Rattus norvegicus: one gene and its partner. The protein of the gene in region 1 purifies or fractionates together with the protein of each later gene. This does not show direct contact. Links are inferred from orthologs where the notes say so. Each region holds a gene or a part of one and is shown on either strand. Other genes may lie near its edges.

Region 1 (10,563 bases):
AAAAATTAAGGAACAGCTTATAATGAGTGCCAGGTTATTTTCTTATAGAATCTGGGATGAACCTATAGTACTATAACTTGCCTGTACCTACAGACCCAACATAAGAGGTCAGTAGTATTATTACTTCGGTAGGAATTTGGTTGTCAGAGTTTTGAACACAGGCACCAGAAGGCCAGCGTTGGGACCCTTGAATTCTGTAAAGAGAACTAGCAGTGCTTATAATAGGAGGGGTAGCCCTCCTTTCTGCTTTTGGGACTTTCCTCTGGTGGAGGAAGTGCACCAGAAATGAGGAAGGGCTTAAGAAGCAAGTCTCTCAGCATTCTGACTGACTGACTGCTGGGTAACTAGCAATATGATAGGAGTTGCTGTCTTCGTAACAAATGGAGTGTCTGTGTTTGTTTTGTTATGTTTGAGACAGGGTCTCTATGTAGCTCTAGCTGTCCCTGTCCTGGAACTCTCTAGGCTAGTCTCCAACTCACAGAGATCCTACTGCCTCTGCCTTCTGAGTGTGGGGAATAAAGACATGTGTGTGCTAGGCTCCTGGGTGTGGGGAATAAAGACAAGTGTGTGCTAGGTTCCTGGGTGTGGGGAATAAAGACATGTGTGTGCTAGGCTCCTGGGTGTGGGGAATAAAGACAAGTGTGTGCTAGGTTCCTGGGTGTGGGGAATAAAGACATGTATGTGCTAGGCTCCTGGGTGTGGGGAATAAAGACAAGTGTGTGCTAGGTTCCTGGGTGTGGGGAATAAAGACATGTGTGTGCTAGGTTCCTGGGTGTGGGGAATAAAGACATGTGTGTGCTAGGTTCCTGGCCTGCAGTGCCTGTTTTGACTACTGTTTAGGCCTTAGGTACTTGACAAATTCTTATAGTCCCATCCCCATACCAAAGATTGAACCTAGCATGCCATATTCTCCCATAGAGAGATATTTCTATCCCTCCTCTACTTTACAATACCATTTTGAGAAGAGAAGGGTTACTGTCCCCACTTTATGGATGAAGGCATTTCAACTCAGAGATGAAGGGCCTTGTCCAGTGCCGCACAGCTAAGAGGTAGCACGTACTTTCACCAGACAAAGGCAAGATAAAGGGAACCCCCTTTCCCAAATCTGGCATCTAGCTCTGACAAATAGAAATCTCAGGTCTTTAAGTTACCTTCTGTAGGAGATACATGCTTCCCATTATCTCAGCCCAGCTCACTGAGCCTGATAGCTCACCCCTATTTAACCCCTTCACTCCCATCTTAGTTCCTGTTTGTGGCAGCTGCCGACTGCACTGCCTCCAAGCTGAGCCTACAAAAATAGCTCCTCCAGCAGCCTAGGCAGCCACAGCAGCCTCTGTGGTCCTGGCTTCTAAGAAAGGCAGCAGCAGCAGCCCCCCCACCCCACCCCCAGCTTGTATGCAGGACATGTGACTTACTGGAAGTACTTAGGGGGGAGTGTGGCCACAGAAGCCACATCCTTGTTTACATTGGTGAAGGGGCTACCCCTTCCTGCCTTCACAGCCCCTTCTCCTCCACCCCTCAGGTATCGTCACCTCTGGGATGACTTGAGGCTGGAGCTGCCCACTTGCTATCTCACTCAGTGCAGCCTTTGATTCCTATATCACACGAACCCTTGTGGAGGGAATCACTGGGCAGTGAAGACCTTCTGGCAAGTCTTCAGAGAAGTAGACTGGCAGGCTTGCTTGGTGGGCATGTTCCCATTCCTAGCATCCTCTGCCCCTTTGCCTCAGGGGGATCCCATTAGAGCTGTGTATCTCTGGGGAAACACAGGGAAATTCCCTTTTCAAGGCAGCCAGTGAAAGTCAGGTCTACTTAAACTTCAAGCCCACATTAATTAAGAGACTCCTGCTTCCTGTGCCTCAGCCTGTATGACTGCTCAGCAAACTGTATTCGATTTCTTTTACTACATCAGGTCTTGAGCTGCCAGTGGGCTCAGGTGTGAACTGCCCCTTACTACCATCACTGGAGGCTTTATGGAATCAGTCTGTGTACACCATTGAATTGGATGATAGAGGGCTTCTACCACTTTACACATACTGTCCATTGTCCACAAGAAACCTGTCAGCTCATACCTGTTTGTTTTCCACTTCACAGAGGAGGCATAGGAAACCCAGAGACTCATTTGTCTCCGGCTGTTTACCTCACTAGTTACTATTTGGCTGAACTTAAAGTGTTTTCCTTCCTTTCCTTCAGTTTTTAAGATTCTAATCATAGCCACCTGTGGTGGCGCACCTCTTTAATCCCAGCACTAGGAGGCAGAGACTGAGAGATCTCTGAGTTCAGTGTCTGCCTGGTCTACAGAATGAGTTCCAGATGGTAGTTTATGCCTTTAAATCTCATCACTCAGAAGGCAGTGGCTGGCAGAACTCTAAGATTGAGGCCATCCTGGTCTACATGTCAAGTATCAGACCAGTCAGAGCTACATCCTGAGACCATGTCTCAAAAAAAAAAAGAGATTCTAATTTATTTTTTGTGGTGGTAGGTATTTAATGTAGGGTTTGCTTTAGTTTGGTTTGAAATAGACTCTCACTAGATCTCATGTGATCTAGGTTTTGAACTTGACAATTCTCTTGACTACTCAACCTTGATTATAGGTATATACTGCCCTCTTTTTTTCCCCGCTGAGACAGGGTTTCTCTGTGTAGCTCTGGATGTCCTAGAACTCACTTTGTAGACCAGGCTGGTCTCCAGAGTGTTGGGATTAAACACATGCACCACTGTCCCCAACTGAAAAACTTGTTATTTCGTTTTTATCAGTGGGTATGGTGGTTGGGATGAATACCATGTAGAGGGCAGAGGACAAGTTAAAGGAACAATTTGGTTCTCTCCTTCAACTGTAGAATCTTGGGGGTTGAACTAGTCCCTTTAGCCACTAATCATCTTGCTGGCCCTTGACCATACTACTCTTAACCTGTATACCCCTGTACTCTTTCACTCTTCAAGATTGTTCAACTTTGCTCCTATTTTTTTAGACAGTGTCCCATGTAGCCTATCCTGGCCTTGAACTTATAGTAGAACTGGAGATAGATGAAGATAATCTGGTCATCCCACGTCCACATCCTGAGGGCTGGGATATAGACATGTACCACTACACCTGGCTGATGTGTGCATGTTGAGCATGTTTTCAGCCCTTGCTTGTTATTTACCACCACTCTATCACAACTCAAAGCTTCTGGGCCTTGGTATAGAAAAGGGAGTTTCCCTAATCCTTTAGCCCATCTGCTCCCTAATGATGTTCTATGACTCTGACTCAGAGCTCTGGTGGTGACAGGTCTGACCCCATCCTCTCCTTTGTTTTGTCCCCACACCCCCAGCTGACCAGGTGTATGGAGACCAGGACATGCATGAGGTTGTGCGAAAGCATTGCATGGACTATCTGGTGAGATCCTGGGGGAGGCCTTGGGGCAGCAGGAGGGTAGGGGGATTCCTGTTGCACACAAACCTTAATTTTCCAATCTGTTCCACAGATGAAGAATGCCGATTACTTTTCCAACTATGTCACAGAAGACTTCACCACCTATATCAATCGGAAGCGGAAAAACAACTGCCATGGGAACCACATTGAGATGCAGGCTATGGCAGAGATGTACAACCGTCCTGTGGAGGTGTATCAGTATAGCACAGGTACTTCTGTAGTGGGTAGGTGAGGGCCTAATGGTTCCTCATCAGAGCCAACCATACTGGGCCCCTGTGGATGCTCCCTCCTTCTCTTTCTCTGCAGAACCTATCAACACATTCCATGGGATCCATCAAAATGAAGATGAACCCATCCGTGTCAGCTACCACCGGAATATCCACTATAATTCAGTGGTGAATCCTAACAAGGCCACTATTGGTGTGGGGCTGGGCCTGCCATCATTTAAACCAGGGGTAAGTGGGTCCCTGTGCCCCAGGTATTTGCTAGATATGGATCATTGGCTCTGCCGTTAGCCCATAAAATGTCTGCACCCAAGTTTCATCTCTATATAAAATTAGTGAGTTACTGTTGATCAGAACTCATTCTGTGGTTTTGATGTGCCTGTCCATGAGATGGCTCACTCATGTTACGCTTGTTGAGAGTGGCCTTTTAGGATATAGAGCTCAACTTGAAACAGTAAGCCAAGCTTCCACACGGATCTTCTCCAACTTCAGAGCAGCTTGCTGGAGCGTACCCTCTGAGCAGATTGTATAGGTTGGGCCTACACTGAAAGTCCTTCCCACAGGCCCAAGGCCGCCTAGGTGTCAGAAGATTACAGTTCATTTGCCCAGCATCTACTGGCAGATAATCATTCATTCTCATAGTCTCACAGTCTCTATCCTCTCATCTTCCCTGCTCCATCCTCCCTCTTTTCAGTGTCGACACCTCTGATCCTCCCTCTTTCCTTCCTCCTTGACTCTTTTCCCTACTCCTTATCCCACTTCCTCTCCTCCCCACCCCCTCTCCTCCCTCTTCTCTGTCTTCCCTTTACCCCCTCCTGGGGATTTTGAAGACTTCTATTCAGGTTTCACTTCCTACAAACAGAAGGTGGTCCTGCCTCATCTTAAGAAACAACTTCAACACACACCCCCAACCTGGGGGAGGGGCGCCTTGTTTTTCTTTTTTACTAAATTTTAGAAAAGTTTTATATTTGCAGAGTGATTGTGAGAATATTAGCATTTCCATATGCCCTGCTATGATTAACATGAACATAGTACATTTGTTGTCCTTAACAAATCAGTATGGGTCCATTAAGAATACATTTCCTCAGTGTCCTATTGGTAAGCCTTTTCCAAGATTCTGTCTCACATTTACTTGTCCCCTTTGACTTCTTATTTTAACAAATTCTTAAGAATTTGTCTGGTTTTGTTTTGATCTGGTGACCCACTTCACAGTTTTGTCTTTTCTAGAATCTCATATAATATGAAATACGCTGCATGTATGTAGCTATTCCAGAATGAATTTTTTCAACTTAATAGCAGCATCATTTAAGATTCATCTGTAACTTTTACTGGCTTGACTATTTTCTTTTTCTCTAAAAATCTGAATGTTTTAAAGTTTCTCTAATTGAACACAAAAAGGGGGGGGGGTGCTGGGGATTTAGCTCAGTGGTAGAGCGCTTACCTAGGAAGCGCAAGGCCCTGGGTTCGGTCCCCAGCTCCGAAAAAAACAAAAAAAAAGTTTCTCTAATTAATAGACTTAATTGTTCAAAATTATTTTACATTTATTTATTTTGGGGAATGGTGTGTGGAGGTCTGTAAACAACTCAGCTCTCTGTGTTCATCAGGCGCCCTTGACTCCCTGAGCTGTCTTGCCAACCTTCAGAATAGTTTTCTCAGTATACAGTTCCATCTCTTCCCAAGGCACAGACTGGTACATTTGTTACCCGGTGTGAACCGGTATTCAGACATTCATATTAATGTGAAGTTACTGCCTCATTCCTTCCTCTTGTTTTGATGACCACAAAAATTTTAAGGAGAACTATTCAAAAGTATTGCGGGGAAATTCTTTTTCTCGGTGTCCTTCTCATGATTTTAACCTGGATTTTGGGTTTGGGCAGAAGAGCACAGAGAAATACATCAAGAGTATGTATTGGGAATATGATCATGACTGTTGATGTTGATTGTCTGGCAGACGTCGTACGAATTTTCCCACCTTTTGGCTGCTGTAGTGTTAGGAAGGAAGTCACACTGATGGGAATTCTGTCTGTCGACCTAAGTATATGTTAATTTAACTTAGGGTTATTGCTGATGTCTTTAGTTAAAATCCTGTGACCATTTGCCTCATTTTAGCCTTTTTGAGTAAATTTTCACTTTAAAGTTTAGAAAACTTTCCGCACCACCCTGCAGTCACTTACTGACTGCTATTTACATATCCGTATAAGCTGGGGCGGTCTCATTAACTGGACCCCTGGAGTCCGGTGATACCCAATGCTCTCTTTGTGTTTGGTGTTACTGATTCTATTCATTTTCTAATGCCTGAGGCCACCGCCTGCTCGTCTTTGCATACATTTGTAATTCTTTAGGAGGTTTTGCCCCCAGAGCGTTACTTCTTAACTAATCTTTAAAAAGCGATTAGCATACATTAAGGAATAGTCTTTGTTTTGTAAAGTTCCTTGGGTTTTGACAGATGCATAACAATAATGTGCATCTATCTTTCAGGCACCTATTCATTCAGCTAGTTTCAGCCCCTGAAGGTTCCCCACTCTGTCTCCTGCAGCCACTGATCTTTATTGACTGTTTTTGCCTATTTCAGAAAGTCACGTAATTGCACTCATAAGTATGTAGGCTTTTTAAAATGCTGCTTTCAAGTAGCAATATGCATTAAGGTTCTTCCATGGTTTTTCATGGCTTGTTAGCCATGTTATCACTGTTCCATTTGTGGAGGCACACTGTTGGTTTAATCATTCACCTATTTGAGAGATATCCTTGGTTGCTTCCAGGTTTTGATGATTATGAACAAAGCTTCTGTAAACTGCTGGGTTCAGGTTTTTGTAGGAACTTAAATTTTATGATTAGTTTTATTAATATCTGGAAGCAAAATTACAGAATTTGAAAACCATGGTGTGATTTGTAAGCAGCTGCTAGACTATTTGTATGAAGTGGCCTGATTTGTTCCAGGCACCATCACAGTGAATGAAAGTTCTGTTCCGCTTCTCTCCAGCACTTCATCTTCCTACCTTTTTAATTTTAACCATTCTCAGTGTTTTTTAAGTTTACTTGATTGTTAAATGTGTTGAGCATTGTTTTAATGCTACACCCTTGAGCTTCATCACCAGCTGAGGGTCTCTTACATCTGCCCATTTGCCATCCCTATGCTTTACTTGTGCAATGGTCAGATGGCTTACCTAGTTTTCATTTTCCTCATTTTGGAGGAATGGAACCCAGGTTTTTGTGTATGCACTTGTTATCACTCAGCTGGCCCTGTTTTTAAATTGACTTGATCTAGCCTTTTTTACATATATTTCCCCTGGTGTGCACCATGATAGAAAATTATGTTGTTTAGCATATATGCTTTTATGTATGTTATATATGTGTATATGAAAGTGATGTTACTAGGGACATGGTGGTACATGCCTATAATTCTAGTATTTTTGAGGCAGAGGAAGAGAATTATGAGTTCAAACCTAACCTGGGTTGGCTGCATACCAAGCCATTGTTTTTGAAAAACGGAACATTAACCAAAACTTTATGAAGCAGTATTTGCATTCAATCCTTGAAATATACATTGACGTTCTCTATTATTCCGTTAGCATCATCTCCGGATGTGCTAGCTAGCTCATGCCTGTAATCACAGCACTTGTGAGGCTGAAGCAGGAAGGTTGCTATGAATTCCAGGCTAGCTTGACTTTCATAGTGAGTTCAAGATCAGACCAGGCCATGACCCTCTGTCTGAAAACAAACCAGTAATGCCCTAGTGTCTTACAACTTGATGTGAAGTTTTCTCATACAGTGTCCTAGCACCCACATGATACCAATACTTCCTTCCCTCACATAGCCATACTCAGCCTCGTATTCGCTTGATTCCTGCCTCCACTCCATGTCTGTACTTCTCTGTTCATCTTTTTCTTTTGCCTTATCTGGGAATATATGAGAAAGGCTTCAACACTGTGAAATTGAGTCATTGCTAGATGAGGCTTCTTTAAACGAAGGCCTAGACCGAAGAGCCCCTCTTATCTCCAGACTTAGTGCTTCACTTGAGGTATCTTGGGTTTGGGCCAGTATTTCTGACCATAGGAATTCAGAATGCCAGGTCTTATATCTAAGCCTGCTTTCTCCAGTTATGGATGAATGTGTACACAGTCTGCTGAGGAGTACTATGTAAGAATAACTTCTGTGTTGTCTCTGCTAAGGCCTGTAGGCCCTGCCTTCTTGAGCCATTCAGGCTCTTACCTGGGTTCAGAGCATCACTGCACATCCCTGTTCCTCTCCCCTGGCAGTTTGCAGAGCAGTCCCTGATGAAGAATGCCATAAAGACATCAGAAGAGTCATGGATTGAACAGCAAATGCTGGAAGACAAGAAACGAGCTACAGACTGGGAGGCCACAAATGAGGCCATAGAGGAGCAGGTGGCTCGAGAATCTTACCTGCAGTGGCTGAGGGATCAAGAGAAACAGGCCCGCCAGGTCCGGGGACCCAGCCAGGTGGGTCATGGACTCTGTCATTGGCCTGACCAAGACCTATTACTTCTTATCTTTTGACCCCTACTTAACAGAGATAAAATAAGAAATTTTGACATCTGGGAGAGAGGCAAACTCCCAGTCCCATCTATAACTCATCTCATCTTTAGTCTTGACATCGTACCTTGGAACTCTCAACACTTGATTTTAAGAAGTGAAGGAGAGCAGCTTTTAAGAAACGAAGAGAGCAGCCACCACTGCTGGTAGCACAAAGGAACAATGGATAGCTACAAAGAGACCAGCTTTTTTGGAATCCCTTTGCATGCTACGTTCTGTACTGAGGATATAAAGCCTTTCCTTCACTATCTTCTGTGATCCTGTCTGTTGAGGCAGATACGGCATTGGTCAGGCCTGTGACTCTGGTTGTGCAAGACCAGGAGAGGTGGGGGTGGGGGACCTAGTCGGTTGTATTTTTAGGGTAGGAAGCAGGGAGGCATGCATCTGAGGAATCGAAGAGGGGTATGGAATGACTGTTGGTTACAAGAGCTGAATAATCTGTTCAGCAAGTATTTATATTGTAGGCCTGTGGCAGGAAGCAGAAGATTCCTAGTGTAGTGGGGTACATTGTGAACCTAGCAGGCCAAAGTACCTATCCTCAGGCTACTCACAAGTAGCCAAGTGAACTAAAATCCTCATGAATGAGTTGGAGGGATGATGGGTGAAAAATGGACAGTTGGTGCAGGGGATACATGAGACTGAGTGAGGATGATTTGAGTTCACAGTATTAAACAGTCATCAGGGTAGAGCTCAGCAGAAAGCCCATAGAAAGGGAATTTGGTACCCGAGTACATGGACAGAACTAGGCCTGGGTGAGGGCAGCAGAGTTGGTATAACCTAGGTATACCTGAAGCTGAACAGAATGTGGGTACGGTCAGGGTAGTGGGGCTAGGTTGGATAGTGGCTTGTGAATTCTGGAGAGGACTTTGCTTTTGCTCTGAATGAGGCAGAAACCATGGGAGGGCTGTGAACAGAAAAGGGATTTGAGATAGGATCACCCTGACTGGTTATAGAGCAAATCTAAGGGGAAAGCAGGGTTTGAATCAGGAGATGAGATCAGGGTCTCTTGAAAGAATAGGACTTTGTCAGATGCCTTTAAGGATATGGGAGTGATTAAGTCATTGTGATACATTAAAGCTATGCTGTAGCCAGGATTCTGGAAAAGGGTATAAGCACTCCAGCACAGGAGGGTCATAGCCAGTGTAGGTCCTTATCACTTTTTCCTTCCCTACTGCAGCCACGGAAAGCCAGTGCCACATGCAGTTCAGCCACAGCAGCAGCCTCCAGTGGCCTGGAGGAATGGACTAGTCGGTCCCCACGGCAACGAAGTTCAGCCTCGTCACCTGAGCACCCTGAACTGCATGCCGAGCTAGGCATTAAGCCCCCTTCCCCAGGCACTGTGTTAGCTCTTGCCAAACCTCCTTCACCCTGTGCACCAGGTCAGTGACTTGCTTTCAGGGTGCCTGCTTGGGCTAAGAGGCTCTGCTTGGTGGGCCCTACCTTTGATTGTTCATCTGCCTCAGGTACAAGCAGTCAGTTCTCAGCAGGGGCTGATCGGGCCACCTCTCCTCTTGTGTCCCTCTACCCTGCTCTGGAGTGCCGGGCCCTCATCCAGCAGATGTCCCCCTCTGCCTTTGGTAAGCCCTCTTAGGGGATGGGCCAGCTGGAAGTTGGGAGAGCCTGGAGGATTTTTGAAGTCCCTGGCCATCTCTCCAAGTCAGAGGCATGAGGGAAAATTTCAGGCCCCAAAGGTTTTCTCCACAGTGGGTCTAGTGGGGCTTCACAGAGTTGAGGGAGTCAATGAATGATGGAGACCTGGATGGATTTTTCCAGAGCCAGGGATCAAACAGAAATAAGGGAAAGTGGCCCGAGGTGCCCCCCATCATCATTGTCCTCTTCTCTCTCCTGCCCAGCAGGTCTGAATGATTGGGATGATGATGAGATCCTAGCATCGGTGCTGGCAGTGTCCCAACAGGAATACCTAGACAGTATGAAGAAAAACAAAGTGCACAGAGACCCACCCCCAGACAAGAGTTGATGGAGACCCAGGGACTGGACACCATCCCCGATCCCCCACTCCTGCCCTTTAATGCCACCCAAACTTCTTTGGCTTTCTTCCCTCTTGGCTTCCTTCCTTTGTTTCCTCTTTTCCTTCTTTTCCACTTCCCTCTGGCTGGCCCACCCATGCGCTCCATCCATCTCATCCCTGCCACCACCATTGGTCTCTGCCAGCTGATGTGCCCTATTGCCCCCCTGCACAGCACCATCTCAGCATTCCACAGGGGACTCTGGACAGGGTGCGGAAGGTAGGCAAGAGACCCACAGAGACAGACCATCTGGCAGCCAGGCAGCCCCAGAAGAGAGACATTCAGACAAAGGAAGTCTTCTGCTCGTCCTTCCTTAAAGATCAGATAAACTTGTCACCCAACAA
Region 2 (10,663 bases), about 46 Mb from region 1:
AAAAGAATAGGATGATTTGGGGAATAAATAAACTTAGAGAAATCATTCTACTTAATATACAGTGAGTAGTGCTGTAGTTCTGATAAGTGACCAAACATACAACAATGGCATAGGGTGGAGGATATAAACATAGCATCACATAAATAAAGCCAATTGAATTTTTACAAAAACACAAGACTGATACAATCGATAAAAAGTATCTTTAAACAAACCCATCTTGTGGGGAAATCTGAGGAGAAATAAAAAACAAACCTTAACCTAAACTTCGCATCTCAAACAAAATTTAAAACTAGAGGCTATGAGTGGAGGTCAGTGATTGCTTGCTTGGTGCCTGTAGTCTGAATATGAATTATCCCACATAGGCTTCTGTGTTAGAACACTTGGTCACAAGTTGGTGGTGCTGCTTGCAAGTAGAACCTTGCTGGAGGAAGTATATTGAGGGGGAGGGCTTTGGAGGTTTGTAGTCTGACCTTACTTCCTTTTTCCTGTCTGCTTCCTGTGGGCTTATGTAACATTAGCTAGCTTCCTGCTCCTACCACTATGCTTTCCTGCCTGTTGTCATGTTCCTCATGATAATGGACTATATCATGTATCTGTCTGTAACTATAAGCCAAAATAAATTCTTTCTTATATAAGTTGCTTTTTTGTCAGGGTATTTTATCATAACAATATAAAAGAAAATAATATACCTGGCTTGCCTAAATGCCATGGATTTGGTCCAAGGCACCAGGAAACAAAGAAAATCTAAAACTGCTAAAAAAAAAATAAATGGATGACAGACATTTATAATTAAAACTAGAAGACGTATAGAAGATAAAAGGAAAAGTTCTTCATATACTAAATATTTGTAAAGAGCCCATAGAAGACATAAAACAACCATTTTTGTTTATTTGGTTGTCTGGTTGGTTGGTTGGTTGGTTTAATTCAATCTCACTATGTAGCCCTAGCTAGCCTTGGATTTTCACTTCTCCAATCTCACTCACCCTCCAGAATACTGAGATTATAAGTATGTTCTACCATTTACAGAAAAATACAATCCTTTTAAAAAATAATCAAGCAATTTGATTTCCACAATTTTGCTTTGCAAAACACTCTATTAAGAAAATAAAAAGAGCCAGGTGTGGTGGCACATGAATTTAATCCCAGCACTTGAGAGGCAGAGGTAGGAGAATCTCCGTGAGTTCAAGGTCACCCTGGTCCACAAAGAGAGTCCAGGACAGCCTGAGTTCTGTTACATAGAAAAGCCATGTCCCAAACAACAAGGGGGGGGAGGATGGGAGGGAGGGAAGGAGGGAGGGAGGGAGTGAATGGGGGGATGAAGAGAGGAGAATAAAAAGATGGGCTGGAGAGATGGCTCCGTGGTTCAGAGCACTGGATGCTCTTCCAGAGGACCGGGGTTCAACTCCCAACAACCACATGGCAGCTCACAACCATCTGTAACTCCAGTTCCAGGGGATTTGACTCCCTCACACAGACATACATGCAGGCAAAAAACCAAACGAACATAACATAAATAATTTTTTTAAAGAGAGGGAGAGAACATGAAAATAGGGGGTGGGAGAGATTACGCAACAGTTAAGAGTGCTCGCTGTTCTTCCAGAGGGATTAGGTTTAGTTCCCAGCACCTATGTGAACCATCTGTGACTACAGCTTCAAGGGATCCAACATCCTCTTCCAGCATTCATGGACACATTCACACACGCACACATGCACTCACGCGCACACACAAATAAATACAAAAACAAAAAATAAAATAAATGTTTGAAGTGAAAATAAGATAAACCATAAACTGAGAAAACCTGCAAACCACATATCTGACAAGGGACTCATGAATCAATTAGAAAAGGTCAATATTCAAAGTTTAAATTAATTGACTTATTCTTTTGGTAAGTGTGTTATGTGTGTGTGTGTGTGTGTGTGTGTGTGTGTGAGAGAGAGAGAGAGAGAGAGAGAGAGAGAGAGAGAGAGAGTATAAGTATGGCGAGTGTGTGTGGTATATGTGTACATGTGTATGTAGGTAAACACCCATGCCCTCATAGAGGCCAAAGGAGGATGTCAGGTGCTTCTGTTTTATTCCCAGGCAAAGTCTTTCATTGCCAGACAGAAAGATCCAGCAATTCTCCTGTCATCACCCCCACAACAGATGTGCAAAACCATATCAAGCTTTTTACATGTGGGTTAGGAATTTTAACTCAGATCCTCACCTTTGTGCAGCAGTGGTCTTACCAAGATCCAACATATTAAATAAAAGCAATAAAATAACCCAAATAGAAAATGGATAAAATGTATGTAGAGACATTTTACTAAAAGGGAGATTTGGGTGTGAAATTATCACGCCGAAATATATTCAGTTAACCACCAAGTGAATGCACATTAAAATCATGGTGAGCTATTCCTACACACTGTTGCTAAAAATTCTAACTTCAGATGTCACGAAAGATTTGTAGAAATTAAAGCACTTATATGTGGCTAATGGAATGTAAAATGGTTCAGCCACTCTAGGAAAGATCTGTAGCTTCTTGTAAAGCTAACACACACTTACTATAAGCTCCAGATATTGCACTGTTGTACATTTAACTCAAAGAAATGTAAATCTGTTTACGTACACACAGACAAATGTTTAAAGAAAAAAAAAAAAAAAGGAGCTAGCCCGGCAGTTTTAGCCGATGTCAGTTCAGTTCCCAGCACCCACACCAGGTGGCACACAACCACCTCTGTAACTCCAGTTCCAGGGAACGCAACTCTCTTCTGGCATCCAAAAGACAGCACATATGTGGAGTACACACCGAGAGATAAACCCACATACACTTTGAGGGAAAGTTAGAAAGACGGTACTGCTCAGAGACAAACATCTGGACAAGAAATAAGAAAAATAGGGGAGCTCAGGGGTTTTAATTAAAACAACAACAAGGAAGCAGCCTATGTAGACTCATACCCACCCCTCAGACTCTCACCTCCCACTTTCCCCTCCTAGTCCCAAGGAAAGAACCTGTGACCCTGCCTCCTTCCAGCTTTTCCTATATTTTAGTCTTTTGTCCTTCGTGGGCAGCCAGTCCCTTGCTTTTCCCCCAAAATGAACTCAGCTAACACCAGGATCCCTGTTACAACATGAGCAAACAGAAGCAGAAAAGAACGTTAAGCATTTTTAAAGAATGACGCAGAAAAAGAGTTTTTTGATAAGATAAAACACGCAAAAACGCGTATGCTCCGGGTTCTTGTCAAATGATAAAAACATGACTCTTTGATCAAGCAGGGATTTCAACAGCACGGTAACAATGCACCTCTGATAGAACTGAAAGACGAATGTGGAGTATTAAGCCAAAGAGTGCAATGTAAAATATTTTCCACATGCATACTATCTAATTTATGTAAGAAGCTGTGTGCCTGTGCTTAAAAATGCTATATGAAAAGGTAGTATAAAAGCCTTAGCCACTGGTTCAAGGTGGTGAGGATTCAAAAATGATTACTTAACTTCAATAGCATTTAGATAACATTTCCAATCGTCAGTGATGCTTATAAACTGTTTCCATAGTAAATTATGTCTTTGTATATGACAAAAAAATAAGTGAATTTATCGGGCAAAAAAAATTTCCACTCAGGCTCCTCGTTTTAGCAATGGGGTAGATTGTGTGATTCATTCATTTATCAAACAATCTTTATTGAGAATATAAAATGTACTAGGCATTGTTCATCGTGCTGAAGGTACAACAATGAATAAATTAGGCAAACTCCACATCCCTAAAGGAGTTCCCAATCTCATGTGACAAAAAGAACAAAACTAAAGGAAACAGTGGTGAGGAGGATATGTGTGTGTGCCTGCGTGTGTGTGTGTGTGTGTGTGTGTGTGTGTGTGTGTGTATAAATTTGGAAATAATTTTGAGAATATCAAAAATATCCACCTGGAGAAGGGAGTGGGCAGCAGGGTACGAGTCTACGCGGTATAGGCTGGCCCATGACTGAAGATACAGACACAGAAGGAAGCAGATGATACATAAAATGGCACCTCAGACCTCCTTTCCCGAGTCTGATCACGTCCCACTGCAGACACTTTACAGAGGAAGTGCTGAGGAAAAACAGGCAGCTGACAGGGGAGGTTGCTATGCAACAGATGAGGGAAGTCATCCAGCCTGGCAGAATTGATGTTGGCCCTTGGGGACAGAATGCTGCGGTCCTTCCTAGCATTAGCTTGCTTTCATATGCAGGCTCCTGTCAGGAGCTGACGCCAGAATAAATGGGAAATGCGCTCAGATCTGCCTGGGGTTTCGGGAACGTATGGGTTTGGTTTGAGTCACCACATCTGTATGCCATTTTTCTGCGTTTGTTTCTCCAGCCATGTTGGCACAGCAGACTGTGTGTCCTTGGACACGACTCTCTTCCTGGGATTCCTATTTTGTGTAGTGAGTAAATTAGGCTCAGAGAGGTCCACTAAAGTGACCATGTCTCAGGGGCTCACACAGCCAGAGACAGATAGGCCAGACACTCATCTTGGAATTCTAAAGCCAAGCCCAGCTTCATTCCGCAAGAACAGGGCAGACACACCTGACTACCCTGGCTGCTCCAGCAGGCACCAAAAAAGCCCGCCGTCTCACTCCTGGAGACTGCCTGCCAAGAGGAGCACAGAGTGAACCTGAAGGGTTCCCACATACACCAGGCCTCCTAGAACACAAGCCTCATTCCCTTGGAACAAATATTGGGGAGAGGAAAGCTTGTTATTCCAATAGAGGATTAAGGAATGCCTCTATTCTCAGAGCAGATTTTCAGTCAGGATCATCCAGGCCCCACATGGATGTTTGTTTGTCTTTTAGATAAAGTCTCAGAGTTGCAAAGCTGGCCTAGAACTCGGTCTCCGGAGTGCTGGGATTACCAGTGTGTTTAAGCAAATATTGTCTTTTCTGTTTGTTACTAGCTCAATGCCCTGGTCCATACAGCGGGTTTACGTTTTAGCTACCTGACGTGTTAAATGAGAATGTTGACCTCCATCCATCTCCTGAGGCTGCCTGTGAGAAAACCAAGCTCCAGGACAGAGCCCACTGCCCTACGCCCTTCCCTCACCTCTCGGACCCACCCCTCACGAAATATTTCTTTGGCAAAAACTGCAAAAAGGGCGAGAGAAACGCTAATTTTCTGAGTCTCGTGAGAGGAAACCTATAGAATCCCCAGGCTGACCCTTGCCCTGGTAGCTCTGTCACGTTTTGTTTTTGTTTTTTTTTTTTTTTTTGCCCCTGCCTTTAAGGTTTCTGCATTGCAAAGTGCGTGAACTCAGCAGAGGCCTAGTTTGTGTCGAAATAAGAGACCCCCCGCAGAGGCCTACCTAAGAGGCTCTAAGCAAGTGGGTGGGAGGTAGTTGCGGACCTGGCTAGAGAGAGTTCGGGAAAAAGGGCGGGACTGAGAAGAGACGCATTGCGGATAAAGGTAGGGGGCTGGTGTGTTGGGCAAGGGGGTGGGACCAAAAGGCGCTGCGCATCTGTTGAAGGAGTGGATGCGTAAGGAGAAGGGGAGGAGGAACCTTTGTACACTGTCAACCTGGTTGGCGGTGGGATAGTGTGCTGGCAAAGAGGCGGGATCTCCTCCAAGTGCACATGCGCGACAAGGTCTCCAGGATGAAGCTTTTGTTGGGAAAGCAAGCGGGACTCTTATTTGGACAGTGATCTGTTGCGCATGCGCGGGGCTTCCTGAGGCGGTGGGTGGTATATTAGGCGAAGAGGCGGGGTCGCCCGAGCTGCCGCGCTGGCATTTTCTCCTGGACAAGGAGAGAGTGCGGGTGCAGAGAGCGGAGCAGAGCAGTCCCGATCCTCTGAGTCGTGAAGAAGGAAGCAACGAAGGGGGTTGGGGTTGGGGCCTGAGGCAAGGTGAGACCCGCCCCCGGACTGGGCATCTGCCCCCCTGGTGTGGCGCCCTTCCCCCATTCTTTTATCCCAATCCCCTTTCCCTGAATTCAGAAACCCCCTCCTCTGCCTTACCCCGGACTTACACCTCGCTCCCGACCCTTTCTAATTCGAACTCCCGTTCATTCCCTGAATCTTTATCCAATTCCTTCACTGAATCCTATTTCCCGACCTTGATCCGTTATACGATTCCTCTAGATTCAAAGCCTTAATTCAACTTTACAGACGCGAACCTCTCCCCGCTAACCGCCCCCCCCCCCGCCCCTGTAAACTACCGCATTCAGAGCGCTTATCTGATTCCAAACCGCGGATTTGAAGCTTTTACCTGTCAGCTTCTGGAAATTTTAGATTGTCTATCGGGACGACCATTTACTTTTCCCGCTTCAGTTAGGCCTGTTTCTCCCCGTACCCAGCACCTCACCCGCCCCCATAATCAAACCACACGCGCACACACAATTCGGTCCTACGTATTTTCCTTCTGTAGTATAATGCCTAGTTCCTCTCCCACACCCCCCTCAGGCTCTGCTCTTGCCAGAGAGACAAGAGCTATGGCTCAGAAACCGGACGGCGGTGCAGGCCTCCGCGGCTTCCAGGTGAGAACCCCGCTCCCAATTCCTCCATTTTCCTTGCTGACAGATTACGCCCACCCCTGGCCCCTCAGGTCGCGCAAATGGCAGGATCTGATTTTGCCCTTCTTCCGGCCTAGACTCCGCGGGCTCTCAAATTTCTAGCGTTTATCGAATAGGGGGGAGGGGCGGCCCTTTTCAGCCATCGGTCCCTGCTTAGAGAAAGGGGAGACCCTGTTAGTCAGGGCATTCTGCCCAGAGAATGCGGGTTGGGTAAGGAACCATTTTTTTTCCATAACCCTGACGCGTGTAGAGCAGTCTGTCGCCCCATCCCCCAACCTCTCGCCTCCACCCTCCCTTTCTCCACGCCGCGAGACTCCCCCTCCACCCTCCTCTGTTTATCCTCCTCAATTCCTCCGTCCTCAGGTCTTGAGCTCCCCACGGCAAGCCTCACGAGTCTGTCTCTAAACCCATTCGGGGTTCAGTGCTTGCACCACATTCCGCACCAGCCCCTGCTGCCTCCGACTGTCCCTCACCTTGCCCTGCCCCCTCTACCTTTAATTAAATTTTGTTCCCGCCCCGCCTCCCTTTGACCCGCCTCTGCCCCCATGTCTGAGTACTGTAACGCCTGTCTACAGTTCCCCTGCTGCGTTGCGCCGTGCCCCTCCTTCAGGTCTGGCTTGTAAGGCCCAGAGATTAAAATTTCCCCCTCCTGTATTTGCAGGCAGAGGCCTCTGTAGAAGACAGCGCCTTGCTTGTGCAGACCTTGATGGAAGCCATCCAGATCTCCGAGGCTCCGCCCACCAGCCAGGCCACAGCAGCTGCCAGTGGGCCGAATGCTAGTCCCCAGAGTTCACAGCCCCCAACTGCCAATGAGAAGGCTGATACTGAGGTTTCAGCAGCTGCTGCCAGGCCTAAGACAGGCTTTAAGGCCCAGAATACCACCACAAAGGGGCCAAATGATTACTCTCAGGCACGTAATGCCAAGGAGATGCCCAAGAATCAGCCTAAGGTGGCCTTTAAGTCACAGAATGCCACCTCTAAAGGTCCACATGCTGCCTCTGATTTTTCCCATGCAGCATCCACAGGCAAATCAGCAGCTAAAAAGTCTGAAATGGCCTTTAAGGGTCAGAATACCACTACTAAGGCTGGCCCCAGTGCCACCTACAATTTCACTCAGTCTCCCAGTGCCAATGAGATGACCAACAACCAGCCTAAGACAGCTAAGGCTTGGAATGACACCACTAAGATCCCTGGAGCTGATGCCCAGACCCAGAATGTAAACCAGGCCAAAATGGCTGACGTAGGGACCAGTGCAGGTATCTCTGAAACTGACGGTGCAGCAGCCCAGACCTCAGCAGATGGCTCCCAGGCTCAGAATGTGGAGTCCCGGACTATAATTCGGGGCAAGAGGACCCGCAAGGTGAGATCCCTGCTGGCTTCCCTTTGCTTTGAGGTCTCTCCTTTCTTTGAATTTCCTTTGCTCCAAACAAAATAAAGGGCACATATATATCTCTATTTTGGCAAAGTTGTAGGGGGAGCTGAAATAAATATTTATTCCTGACCCCCGGTTGTCCACAGATTAATGATGAGTTGATACAAGGACACAGGCAGTATGTGTGCAGACCGTCTTACATTTGACAGTAAACACCATGTCTTAAGCTAGGCAGGCTCACCCAGAATTATCATTAGATTTTGAAGATCCACCTCACAAGCAAGAGAGACCACAGTCAGGGAGAAATGAGTTCAGGGTGAAACCAAGCAGTGCACAGGAAAGGGAGAAACCCCGGGCTCCACTTTGTGTTTTTCTTTCTCTGGTTTGGAGATGAAATGCTTTCCTGAAAGACAGTGAGGAACCAAGTGGCTAATGGCTAGTGAGGTATAGGTGAGGATTCCTAGGGACTTCCTAGGATAGCTACTGGGGGTGCCAGGATTAATAGTGACCCTGAAATTTTCTTCTCTCTAATGATACAGATTAATAACTTGAATGTGGAAGAGAACAGCAATGGGGACCAAAGGCGTGCCTCGCTGGCTTCCGGGAACTGGAGGTCTGCTCCGGTTCCAGTAACCACTCAGAACCCACCTGGCGCACCCCCTAATGTGCTGTGGCAGACACCACTGGCTTGGCAGAACCCATCAGGCTGGCAAAACCAGACAGCCAGGCAGACCCCACCAGCACGTCAGAGTCCCCCAGCTAGGCAGACACCATCAGCTTGGCAGAACCCCGTTGCATGGCAGAATCCAGTGATCTGGCCTAACCCAGTGATCTGGCAGAATCCAGTGATCTGGCCAAACCCCATTGTCTGGCCTGGCCCAATTGTCTGGCCAAACCCAATGGCCTGGCAGAGTACACCTGGATGGCAGAGCCCACCCAGTTGGCAGGCTCCACCTAGTTGGCAGAGCCCTCAAGATTGGCAAGGCCCTCCAGATTGGCAGTTACCACCTGACTGGTCAATGCCTCCTGACTGGTCCTTTCCCTCTGACTGGCCTTTTCCACCTGACTGGATCCCTGCCGACTGGCCAATTCCACCCGACTGGCAGAACTTACGACCCTCACCTAATCTGAGATCCTCCCCCAACTCTCGTGCCTCACAGAACCAGGGTCCTCCACAGCCCCGAGATGTGGCCCTTCTTCAGGAAAGAGTAAGTGCTATACCTCTCCACTTTGTTTACTGTGGTCCTTCCATTTGTAATCAACCAAGTGTTCTGCAAACCTAATTTGAATTATTTCCCCCCAGGCAAATAAGCTGGTCAAGTACTTGATGCTTAAAGACTACACGAAGGTGCCCATCAAGCGCTCAGGTAGGCCCTTCTCCTGACCCTGATGTCCTGTCCACTCCCTCCCATAGCTGATTCTACCTCTGAGGAGCCTGACCGGGCTGTCCTTACCAGGCCTGGCCAAGGGGCTGCTACTGTGCTCCAGCTCAGTCCTGGTGCTTCCCTTCTCTCCTACAGAAATGCTGAGAGATATCATCCGAGAATACACTGATGTTTATCCAGAAATCATTGAACGCGCATGCTTTGTCCTGGAGAAGGTAAAGAGCCACACCTGGGAAACTAGAATGACGGTCAAATTCTCCATTGTGTGAGATAACTACTGGAGTTGAGGACAAGGTTCACAGCGCTGTGACTGCCTGCCTATTGGCACGTTATGCTAAGTGCTGTCATTTGCTTGCTTCTGTAGAAATTTGGAATCCAGCTCAAGGAAATCGACAAAGAAGAGCATCTGTATATCCTCATCAGTACCCCTGAATCCCTGGCTGGCATACTGGGAACGTAAGATGGGAAAGGGGATGTGTTATGGCCTTCCTTGGTGATGCTTTTTGCCTAAGAGTTTCAGTATTCAGTCACATAGGAGGTCATGGGCAGAGTGGGGGCATAATGATCTCCACTGAGGAATACTGGAGAAGCTAAATTGGTAAGCTTGTGGGGTTTTTCGTGTAAACAGCTGCTGGGTGTGTATATATCTGTATTCTTTTTGTACTCCTCTAGGACCAAAGACACACCGAAGCTAGGCCTCCTCTTAGTGATTCTGGGCATTATCTTCATGAATGGCAACCGTGCCACTGAGGGTGAGTGACTGGACTTGGAGCTGGGGGTTGGCTGCAGTCTGATTTCCATGCTCACTTTCCATGCCTTCTCTCTTCTTGCCTCCTATTGCAGCCGTCCTCTGGGAAGCACTGCGCAAGATGGGACTACGTCCTGGGTACGACTGGGCTCCTTCATCTGAAGTATCCTTTAGCAGCAGGGGATGTCTTAAATTATGATGAGATTAGATAGGAAGACAGTCTGTAACTCTCTAGTTTTCTTCAGGCAGAATCTCTGATTGTCGTTTTCTTTTTCACCATCAGGGTCAGACATCCCCTCCTTGGCGATCTGAGGAAACTTCTTACTTACGAGTTTGTAAAGCAGAAGTAAGTGGTCCTTAGAATTCTGGCTCTGCTTGGTCTGCATCAGAAAAGGTTCTTTAAACGTGACTTACAGCACTCCTGTAGGTTCACAGAATTATCCAGAAGTGTTTACTGAAGACACGCTTTGAGGTGGAATGTTTTTACAGCATAGTTATTAGTAAAGCCTGTCCTCTTTTCTCATAGTACACATTCTCAGGAAAGAGTAGTAGTCCAAGATGATAAAAACCTGAAGCAGCAACTTTAGCACAGTATTATTTAGCATGTATTTTGTTGCAGACTGCCCATAAACACAGACTTTTTC

Evidence for each region.
Region 2: the proteins of Otud5 (region 1) and Maged1 purify together in Homo sapiens (affinity purification with mass spectrometry, with the first as the bait; 3 studies listed by BioGRID). This does not show direct contact. The link is inferred for Rattus norvegicus from reciprocal best matches to the Homo sapiens genes OTUD5 and MAGED1.

What each region holds. Positions count from the first base shown.
Region 1 is NC_086039.1:17,298,637-17,309,199, reverse strand, and holds part of Otud5 (OTU domain-containing protein 5), read left to right. Parts: intron 1-1,522; coding exon of another isoform or gene 1,523-1,548; exon of another isoform or gene 1,549-3,308; intron 3,309-3,314; coding exon 3,315-3,379; intron 3,380-3,467; coding exon 3,468-3,624; intron 3,625-3,721; coding exon 3,722-3,870; intron 3,871-7,895; coding exon 7,896-8,099; intron 8,100-8,245; coding exon of another isoform or gene 8,246-8,251; exon of another isoform or gene 8,252-9,369; coding exon 9,370-9,571; intron 9,572-9,655; coding exon 9,656-9,769; intron 9,770-10,045; coding exon of another isoform or gene 10,046-10,048; coding exon 10,049-10,170; 3' UTR 10,171-10,563. UniProt on the Homo sapiens protein: Deubiquitinating enzyme that functions as a negative regulator of the innate immune system. Has peptidase activity towards 'Lys-48'- and 'Lys-63'-linked polyubiquitin chains. Can also cleave 'Lys-11'-linked ubiquitin chains (in vitro).
Region 2 is NC_086039.1:63,418,071-63,428,733, reverse strand, and holds the start of Maged1 (melanoma-associated antigen D1), read left to right. Parts: upstream 1-5,748; 5' UTR 5,749-5,849; intron 5,850-6,404; 5' UTR 6,405-6,433; coding exon 6,434-6,478; intron 6,479-7,175; coding exon 7,176-7,874; intron 7,875-8,425; coding exon 8,426-9,094; coding exon of another isoform or gene 9,095-9,125; intron 9,126-9,189; coding exon 9,190-9,253; intron 9,254-9,379; coding exon of another isoform or gene 9,380-9,406; coding exon 9,407-9,486; intron 9,487-9,635; coding exon 9,636-9,727; intron 9,728-9,943; coding exon 9,944-10,023; intron 10,024-10,114; coding exon 10,115-10,157; intron 10,158-10,302; coding exon 10,303-10,365; intron 10,366-10,663. UniProt on the Homo sapiens protein: Involved in the apoptotic response after nerve growth factor (NGF) binding in neuronal cells. Inhibits cell cycle progression, and facilitates NGFR-mediated apoptosis. May act as a regulator of the function of DLX family members.